2 linked regions of the Caenorhabditis elegans genome follow. The protein of the gene in region 1 interacts with the protein of each later gene in a pairwise test. Each region holds a gene or a part of one and is shown on either strand. Other genes may lie near its edges. The genes, in order: ced-5 and mig-39.

Evidence for each region.
Region 2: the proteins of ced-5 (region 1) and mig-39 interact in a two-hybrid assay, tested with the Caenorhabditis elegans proteins (one large-scale study listed by BioGRID).

Annotation. Positions count from the first base shown.
Region 1 is NC_003282.8:10,482,301-10,487,233, forward strand, and holds the start of ced-5 (Dedicator of cytokinesis protein 1), read left to right. Parts: upstream 1-1,809; 5' UTR 1,810-1,824; coding exon 1,825-1,855; intron 1,856-1,898; coding exon 1,899-2,255; intron 2,256-2,304; coding exon 2,305-2,498; intron 2,499-2,545; coding exon 2,546-2,682; intron 2,683-2,729; coding exon 2,730-2,947; intron 2,948-3,175; coding exon 3,176-4,264; intron 4,265-4,580; coding exon 4,581-4,659; intron 4,660-4,707; coding exon 4,708-4,839; intron 4,840-4,933. Other genes in the region: F01D4.5 (PHD-type domain-containing protein), read right to left, coding at 493-509, 550-769, 820-963, 1,008-1,192, 1,243-1,348.
Region 2 is NC_003281.10:8,465,112-8,470,328, forward strand, and holds the start of mig-39 (Zinc finger BED domain-containing protein 39), read left to right. Parts: upstream 1-1,923; 5' UTR 1,924-1,980; intron 1,981-2,597; exon of another isoform or gene 2,598-2,887; intron 2,888-5,217. UniProt on the Caenorhabditis elegans protein: Regulates the timing and orientation of distal tip cell migration during gonadal development. May act in parallel to cacn-1 and Rac GTPases to control the anterior and posterior migration of distal tip cells.

The sequences.
Region 1 (4,933 bases):
AACGCTCCGCCCCCGAACCATGGGTCTCGTGGTATTTGGAGTTAAATCCGTAAATTCGATTGTTTTCAAATTTTTTCAGCTTTCTCGTCTTTTTAATGATTTTATGGCAAAATTTAAGACTTGAAATTTTCAGAAAACTAAAAATAACAAAATAGACAAAAGATGGTTGAAATTTATGCCAAATTCCTGACGAGACCCGTGACTCGGGGGCGGAGCGTCATCACCTAGATTTCAAAAAGAGGAAATTTTCTGCATCCCAATAATAACAAGAATCGTTATTCAAGTGTTGCGAAAATGTGGAGTTTCAATAAAATTAAATTTGTATTATAAAACTGAAATCTTTTATTTCGTTGTTTCAGTGTGCAATTGGTAAAACATGGGACATGAGAATGTAAAAAATGAAAAAAAAACATAATTGAAAAGCAAAACTTGTTTGATGAGAAATGAGAATCGATTTTTCACGAATTGCACAAGAGAGCGTGCTCGTCGAGTTTATAGCCTGTAAAAAACTGATAAGAGTGGGAGGTATTTTGTCTGGAATGTCTGTACCTTTGTTTTTGGCACATGGGTAATGAATGAACGTGTTTTTCTTATTTTGTACAGAAATTGCGGCACCAGTTTTGCGGCAAACTATGCACGTTTGAGACCAGAAAATATCGATTTGATTATCCAGATTTGTTAGCTGATTGCCGTGAAGATGCACATTTGGAGCCCATAAAACACATGAGCCATGGAACCATAATTCGATTTTTGTAGGTTTTTTGGCAGTCTGAAAAGTTAATTAATTTTTAGATTTTAGAGAATGGGATGGGTTGTTACAGGTTTCTTAGCCAGGAAAGATGGCCAATATTTAATTGGATTATGTGTTGCATAATATGGTCCAAAAAGTTCTCGTTTCTCTCCATTTTCGTGGCACAATGCACACACATAGGAAGATTCAATGGCGTCTGACTGCTCTTCCCACTGAAAATTAATAATAAAAATTAGATTTATCATTTTAATCGTACCTGAAAAAGCTTTGTCATGTGAAAATCCAAAGTTCGATTGACAGTTGCTTCGTGATTCCCCGAATTTTTGATAACTGATTTTCCATTTCTCACTTCAAACATCGGAGTCTCATCTTTTCTATTTGATTTATACTTTGAACCAAATTTTTGATTTATTTGAGTGGCCATATTTTTGTTCTCTTCGTCTGTAAATCAAAGTGAAGAAAAAATATTTTTATTATAAAAACCAATTTACACTCTTCATCTTCCTCATTTCTTTTCTTCTTCTTCACACGTCTCCGTTTTTTGGGTGGTGATTTATGCACTGAATTTGATGTAGATTCTAGATCATCAATTTCCATTGGTTTTCTGGAATTTTTTTTCTGATTCTATAGAAAAAAATTTAAAAATATAACACGAAGTTACCATAAAATATAGATATTCACATTATATTTATGACAAAACATGCATTTTATCGGTTTTGTTATACATTAACTATTAAAATATTAAATTTAAAACTGTTAAAAATTCAATGGAATCCAAAACGTATACGGTTATTCTGCCAATTGACTTCCAAATTCATTCTCCCGGCAACAATGGCCTAGGTTCCACAAGCATAAATCCTCGGCCACGGTTTGTGGACTCCTCTCGGATAAACAGTTACTCATCAGAAATAAACAGTTCTCGTGATATTTACGTTTGTTTCTCACAGAAACTGTCTCCGTTTTGATTTGTATATTTATATTTGATATTTTAAATTAATATAACGTAGTTTTAAATTAAATTGTCCGTTTTAATTGAAAATTCAAGCTTAAATCTTCAGATAAATGAGTTCGTAATGGCAACGACGGGTTTCTATTATGCAATCGGTTTGTTTTCACTTCGCAACTATTTAAATATCTTATTTTTCAGTTCAATACACATTTGAGGATCCGCTTCCATCTTGTGATGCTCCACGATTAGAACTTTTTATTGGCGATCGAATATGTGTTTACGGGCAGCACGGAGAGTGGGGATATGGTCGAAAATTTGACGAGAAAAATGGAAAATGTGGGATTTTTCCACTTGCCTATGTACAAATCGTTCAAAAGTCCATGTTCGTATCGACAAGTGACGGATATCTCGTTGTGGATGAAATTTCCAGAGTTATTAATGAATGGTGGACCAAAATTAAAGAATTGATGGTGGAAACGACAAGGATTGGATCATTCGAAGACTTGATGGATAGTTTTAATGAACTACTAATAATAAAAACTAAAATCGAAAGTGGTAATTTTGTTTCTTTATCAGGAATATAGTAAAATAATTATGCTTTTAGGTGGGATTCCAATTGAAGAGTTGAGCAAACTCCGATTGCGCGTTTCAAAACTGGTAGACCGTGGAAATACAATTCTTGGCCAAGATGTAGTGATTCGCAATGAAGAGGGTGTTCCGCTTGACGTTGAATCACTTTCACTTCTTAGAACATATGAAGCACACATTTCTTCGAAAGGAAGGGTCGGATCATTGATGGTATACTATTTTTTCTCTTACAAGCAATATATTTTTCAAATTTTCAGCGGGAGAAACCTGAAAATGTTACAATCAACGATAGTTTCTCATTGCTGCTCTCCATTAAATCTGTCGAACTCCATTGTAAATATTCCTGTGAAATAAGCATATCACTATATGATCTGGACAAGAAAATGTTCACCACGTAACTCACAATTTTTCTGAAAAAGACAATAGTTGCATTATTTTCAGAGATAGTTATACATTTCTCTGGAACAGCGGTAGTGGAAAACACACGGATTTAAATTTGAAAGCACTGTTCACTGATTTTGCAAAAGAAGATATTCAGAAAAAGTATTTGATGGTAACTCGAGTTGTTCATGTATCACCGATTGAATCTTCTAATGCTACGATGAGAAAGCATGGACATCACGAAGCAACTATACCAAAGACATTTTATTGTAGGCAATGTGAGTTTAAATCACAAAATGAGCTAGTGTAGCATGTTCTCCCAGTAATTTTCGCCAATTTTTGGCGAAAATTGGTTTTTTTATTTTTATTTTCGCCTATCAATATCACTAAATTTTAATGAAAAATATTGGAAGAACATGCCCACTGCCTGATTTTGTAGAATTACCGGTTAGTAATTGCCGCGCAACCCTGGTTGGAATACAAAAATTTATTGCTGCTACTTTCAGCGTACGCCTCGGACATCATGGAAATGTCAAGCATCTTTCTTGCTGGTGTTGGCCACGAAGCAAAAGAACGTGTAATTTTCCTGAATCGAGAACCAGAACTTCCATTATCTCTAAAAGCATATCACGCTACAAATCGTATACCGAAGAATTTAAGCAACGATATGGAAACAAAACTATTGATAAGTACCCAATTAGTTCCTGGAAATGTTTCTCAAATCAAGGCAAGACACCCACATTTGTTCAGTAGATGTCCAGCGGCGATTCTACGAAGAGCTGATAGAACAGCAGTTTCAATTGAAGATAGTCGAAATGAGATGTATATTACTTTAATGCAGGCTGAATTATCTGGAAAATCATCTGATCGTAACATTGAGGCACGTCTTCATGTCGTGGAATCAAATGGACATGTTATGGAAAATGTTTTTGAGACTATTTCGGTTACTGGTTCGCAACTTAGCACTGTCTACAAGAGTATTGTAGTTTATCATACTGACAAACCAATGTGGACGGAACCAATAAAAATTGCTCTTCCCTCATGTGCTTCTCATGATGTATACCTTCGGATCTTATTTTATTCGAAGAAAGCATATGACAAACCAAAACCAGAAAAAGGACCATTTGCAATTGCACATGTTCAACTCATTCGAAGTAGTGCTCTACTCTGTGATGGTGAACATGACTTGGCTGTCTACAAAATTGATAATCCAGGATCTCACTTTGATGAATCAAATGTACATTATATGAACTTACCTGATACCAGAAGAACACTCAAAGAATCAATTGGAAGCGCGAAACCTCATTCACAGGGTTTTAGTTTGAGTGATAAAAGTTTTGTGATGATATCCACTCATTCATGTTCTTCAATGTTAACTCAAAATGAGCATTTGTTGAATGTGTTGAGATGGCGTGTAAATTGTGTCAACCTTACATCTTCATTGGTGGCTCTTGCTCAACCAATTGGAGATACGGAACACGAAATGATTCGATTCTTCTCACATTTATTGGATGCACTCTTTGAAATTTGGCATGATCGTGAGACTTCGGAGAAAGTCGTTTTTGATGTTATCGTGGCGGTTTTAAGAATTTGTGGTAAGTGTACAGCTTTCTGACATTTTGTTCAGTTAGAGAAAAGTTCCGGCGAAAATATTTGTTAAGCAAATTACAATTTTTCGCTGAAATGTTTCCTGACAAAATTGAATTATCCGTCGAAAAATTGCCAGAGAACATTTGAATTCTCCGCCAAAAATGTTTGAATGAAATTTTGAAATTCTTGCCATATTTTTTCCGAGAAATTTTTCTTAAGATAAAATTTTTTTATCAAAAAAAAAACTAGCGGTGCAGCTGACCATAAATTTTTTTTTCAAATATTTCTTTTTGGATAAAGTTATTTATTTTAATATTTCAGAGGAGCCACGACACTACCCACAGGCTGCAAAAATATTCGAAGTGTATCTGAAACGATTTTCATTTACTTCAGCGGCACTGTAAGTTTTCATAGATTACACGTATAATTCAAATTCCTTTGTTTCCAGAAAAATTCTAAAGTGTCTCAATCACTATGTCATCTCGGATTCAGAAGATTCAAATGAGAAAGCGAGAAATGCATTCAAAGTTATGGGTCCTCTCTTCAAATTAGTTGTCGTGTCGAAGAAATGTGGAATAAAGTACGTTTTCCAAATTAAAAAATCAGAAATTTCATCTTTTTGATTTCCAAACTTCGCAAACCAAAACTGAAAAAATAAGCAATATCATGAAAAA
Region 2 (5,217 bases), on another chromosome or scaffold:
GCCACGTCATCAATTGTATAGCACATCAGAAGAAGGTTTACCTCTCGAATATTGAGAAATAACAACAACCACTTTTTGTTTCAATTGATTCGTCGCTTCTTCCTTTTCTTTTTTGACCATCCCAAAACATATTGGATATTGAGTTGTGAGCAACCGGTGAAAGTTTTGAGAGAGAAAAACTATGAGGAATGTTGGTATTCTAGAACTTTGTTTAGAAATGTGAAATGTTCATATTCGTGACTGCCGTGATTTTGAAACTAGTAAAAAGCAGTTGTCCAGCTTTGTTCCCGTTGTAACCTTTAAAAGAAGAATTTAATACAGTTTAGTATGATCTAGATAACTAAATGAACCACACAGTTCATATTTGTTTCTCACTTGGGTGGTCGTAAAAAAGATAAAAACTGATTAAAAGTTATGCCTGCTGGGGCTTTACCACAATATATATATTTCCCTGATGCCACCTTAACCTCTACCAGGTCAAAACTTCATGCAACCCTTCAAAAAACCACCACCAGAAGCATCCCGTCTATCATTGCTAAATGTTTGGCAAAAATTATATGACCCATGGGACTGGAGAAAGGTTTGCCCTTATTTCTTGGATCCGGAAATTTTGAGAGTAGTACTCGTAACTCAAAATGAGATGGACGATGCCCTCTGGGCACTTTGCTCCTGATTTTTAGATTTTTTCAATTTATTTTTGTAAGGACCTAACAATAGAGAAACCTTAAAACTCGACGAATATTTTGAGAATGTGTCCCAAGTGTTGTGTTATCCCATACCCAAAACCCGTATTGTCCCTTCGTTTGTTTTGCAACAAACGAGCCAGCGGCTCCTCTTAAAGAGCTCAGCTCGACTCGGGCTTCAACATGAGCGCGCGCCAATTTTTGATGGATTATGTCGTTTTGATGGGTAAGAGCACCTGATGCTCCTTAGGGGGATGCGACTCGGATACACGAGCCTGAAGATGGGGAGAGTCCAGCGTTTATGGTGTGTGAGTATGATTGATGGCCTAGGTTCGTTATACACTATGACAACTCTTCCTTCTTAGTTTCGACATCATTGTGAGGCCTAAACAAAACTCTCTCTGTGATTACATCTCTTGTCTCACTTATTCCCGATTGGCTTACCGTAGTAGCTTCTTCTTGTAGGTCGCGTATAAATACTACTTGGGTGGGTACTGGTGGAATCCAAGTTTCATTTTTGTTTAAGTAAAACTTTTTTCTGTAAAACCAGGTACCTATCAGGGCCACAGAAAAGGTATCCACAACTTGTCTGGTCGATTTTCTGCCAATTCGATTCGTTGGAAATTCTTAATTATTAATTTTACGGGAAGTCGTAGTAACCAGCATTTTAAAATCTGAATTGGGTTCTACAAAAGATTAACCGGACCCTACATGACTTCAGTGAATCTGAAATCGTAGACTTCTAGATGCTCATTTCAGCTACATGCTTCAAATAGTCCATATCATTCAGTATTATCAAATCTTATTAAATTGAAAGAAATTCAGTTTTTTAACCCAAACGTTCTATTACCAGCATCTCCAAAATACCTCAATTCCTTCTCAAAAACATATCCATTCACCTATTCTCATATCCATGTCCTTCGACCATTTGTCTTTTCCTTCTTCGGGTTTTTTGTCGCAACGCCCTTTTTTGCTCATCCCAATATCCCTGTGTGAAGCATTTTTTCTCAAAAATCCAGAGAAACACAAAAAAGAGTAACCCATAAATTTGCGGCATTTCCTTCACCACCGAAAGACGAAGCCCTCATTTCCAAATAAATTCATATTTTTTTGTGGTTTCTTTTAGGTTTTGTAGATCCCGATAGCCGCCCAAATTTTCCCCATGGGACATGAGATTTCATTTGTTTTATTTCTTTACTAATTTAAATTTTTTTAAATTAGAATCAAGACCAATTTTCAGGTACTATTGCCACAATTGCTGAGATCATTGCACAAATCCCAGGAAAACCCGAAAAACGTAAGTTAAACCTAAAAACTAGAATAGTGTGTATACTATAAAACCAAGTCAGAAAATATCTATATAGTTATGATGATGTTTAGTAAATATTGAGAGAAGAAGGAAAAAAGAAGGAATGGTATTTGTGAGTGTTTTATGGGCGATTCGCGCTCCACATTTCACTCAGTACCTGACAGTTTATTGTTATTTATTTTTAGAGAAAAGTAAGAGTTTTCGAATTTATCAACTTTCAAAGGTTTTATGAAAGAAATTTTGGTATACTTATTTACCCACTGACCCACTGAGATTATTCAAAAATTTCGGATAGCTTTAGGTTTTCTTTTTACAAAATATGATATTTTGTTTTTATTACACTTTACCAGTTAAAAATGTTTCAATATACAATTTAGATTTAAACATTTATTGACTGTCAAAACTGAAAATCTTCCAACCCAAACCCTTCCAATTCATTTTCCATAACTCGCACATTGTTCTTCTATCATTCAATTTAGCAATAAGTGGCTCTCGAAATCTTTGTAGGTCCCACCAGTTGATGAGAATCCACGAACACTTTACACCCAAAGAGTTTTTAGGAGGTCTATTGATGAAAAGACACGGAGGGGCCGGATGGTTTTTGGGAACAAATGAAACCATCTGGTTTTGGTTACCACGGAGAAAGAGGGGGAAAGAGCAAGTTGGGGAAATGGGCAAAAAATAAAGAGGAAGAGCACTTCGGTGTTGGGAAAATTTGAGTCACTTTTGAGTTTTGTTAGACCAAATTTTTGCTAAATGATTTTAGGATATGGGGAGAGTATAGATAACATTTAGCATATATAGTAGGTTCATCTTCAGGTGTTCGTATAACTTTTCAATCAAATTTTGCGATTTCAACGAATTTTTTTTCTAACTGCCAATAATTTACGATCATATCAATTTCCAATAGGTTGAGCATGTTTATTTACTCAAATTTCGTTCGAGTCGTCCATTGTATAATATGAGTCAATTTTCCACCAATTTTCTCTTATTCCTCTCTCTCTTTTTCTCGTTTCCTCAATCACCCATCACTACTGTTTGAGAGCCGTCCTGTGACAATGTATGCTGACTCATTTTGTATTTTCCTCTTCCGAAAATTGGCGATCATTACTATTATTTCTGTGTACCGCCCTTGTCTCAGCCATCTCCTCCTGCTAGAATGGTTTCATGAACATTCGTATATTTAAATAAAACAGTTTAGGTTTCGAAATGAACAGTGAAGTTGTGGCCGAACAAGTTGAGATAGCCCACTTCTTTTTGGCGTCTTCTGGGGTAGATTCATATCTTTTTTATGCGTATTTTGGTGGGAGGGGGCCGAGACAGAATTCAAGATCCTCCTAAATATGTATGGTTTCTGAACCGTTGCATATTACTTTTCAAATCCATTTTGCTCTTATTCAATTATTTTCCCAATTTTTACACAACCTGTAAATAATACCACGAAGTCCTTTGAGATAACCAAACATCATAATTAAACACTCCAAAAGTTGTAAGATTTTTGTAAATTTTATGCCAAGGCCTTGGTAAATGTCCAAATTATCTAGTTTCAGATTTTTGAGAAATTCAGAGTATTGTTGCATTTTTGAATGACTTCTAGGTTTATCAGTAGCAAAAACTTTGCAATCGCCATTGATTGACTAAAATGAAAAAATTTTCAAAAAATGTTATGATATTTTTCTTTCAGTTTAAATAAACACTTTTCTCTTTAGTGCTCCTCTACTTTTAAGCATTTAAAAGTCTTATTGAACTTTCAAATTATTTATTCTTTGAAAACTTCCTCTATTATCAAAAATCAAGGGTTTCTACCACGCAAAACCAAAATAAATCAAATCAAGATATTCAAATAATTCTTCATTTTTCTTTTTCCCTTTCATTCCCATTTCCCCAAAATCCGTCGCAAAATCGGCTCTTGGACACACGCCGATCACCTCTTCTTCTTTCATCTAGAATCCGTCGTCATCCTCTCGCGTACAGCCAAGTAGCTTACTGATAAGCCAGCAGCTCCTCGAGCCGTCGGGTTTTTTTCAACCGTGTTTTTAACATTCTAGGTAGATATAGATATAACTCACCGGTATTATCGTTTCATTTTAGTATTGAAAACAAAGATTATCTTTTGGGTATAAGAAAAAATGAAATAGTAATTTTGAAGAGTGGTATTCCAATTTTTATTACCTATAGGATAATTTATTGTTTTTATTATTTTTGCTGTGAATAACAGTATTTGTCATATATTAACATCTATCAAGAAATTTCAAAAACTCTTAGACTATCATATTCTATGTTCTACAAGCATATTTTCTTGATAAGTGTGACGTCACACACGGTTTTTAAACTTATGGTAAGACTCGATTTTAATATTCAATAAAAATATCCCTGTGTTTTAAACTGCGGAGAGACCGTCAAATCACCAAGAGTATTTCAAATGCTCAATTTGTGAACTGCGCTAAAATAATTTTTTGAAAATCCGTAATTTATCTAACCATATTCCTAATTTTGGCATTTCCATTTTGAATTTTTTTCCAGTCTTTGAAATTGTTTTGCTATCACAATCAAAAAGTTTAATTGAATGTTGAAAACTACCAACTTCTAAATTGAAATATTATGTTTCTAAAGTATAATGGAATTGAATTTCATTTTCAACTTTAGTTTTATTTTTCAACAAATATCAATCTAAAGAAAAGCCTACAGGTAATCCTAGTTATCCGCTTTGCAGTTTTTGGAGAGTTATTGAATCATAAAATCTTATCAAACTGCACAATAGTTAGGAAATAGTGGAAGAAAATCAGTAATAGAAGGCATCTATGGTAGGCAAGCATTTCTTTATGCCTGCCTGCCCATCGCGTGGCCACTTACAGTTAGGCAGAAGTGTTGACACAAGGTATGAAAAATTATTACATCTTCCATCCAAAAAAACGTTATGGAATATTTTAAAATGTACTGAAGAAATAATTTTAAAATCTTTTTCTGTCGGAATGTTTATTGATATCTTCAAAATAAACCCTTTTAAAAATTATCAATCGGGTGCAGTAGTAATTTCCTAACATCACTTACCTATATATCCTCCAAAACCTCAATCAGTTTCTCCTTGTAAATACTCAGCATCCTGCAGTTTTCTTGAGAACTCATTACCTTAGGTGATGTGGTTGTTGAAATCTTGTTGTCAACTTGAAAAAGATTATCCCACTCTACCCGGTTGTTGATGTACTCTCGGTTATCTTCTCATTT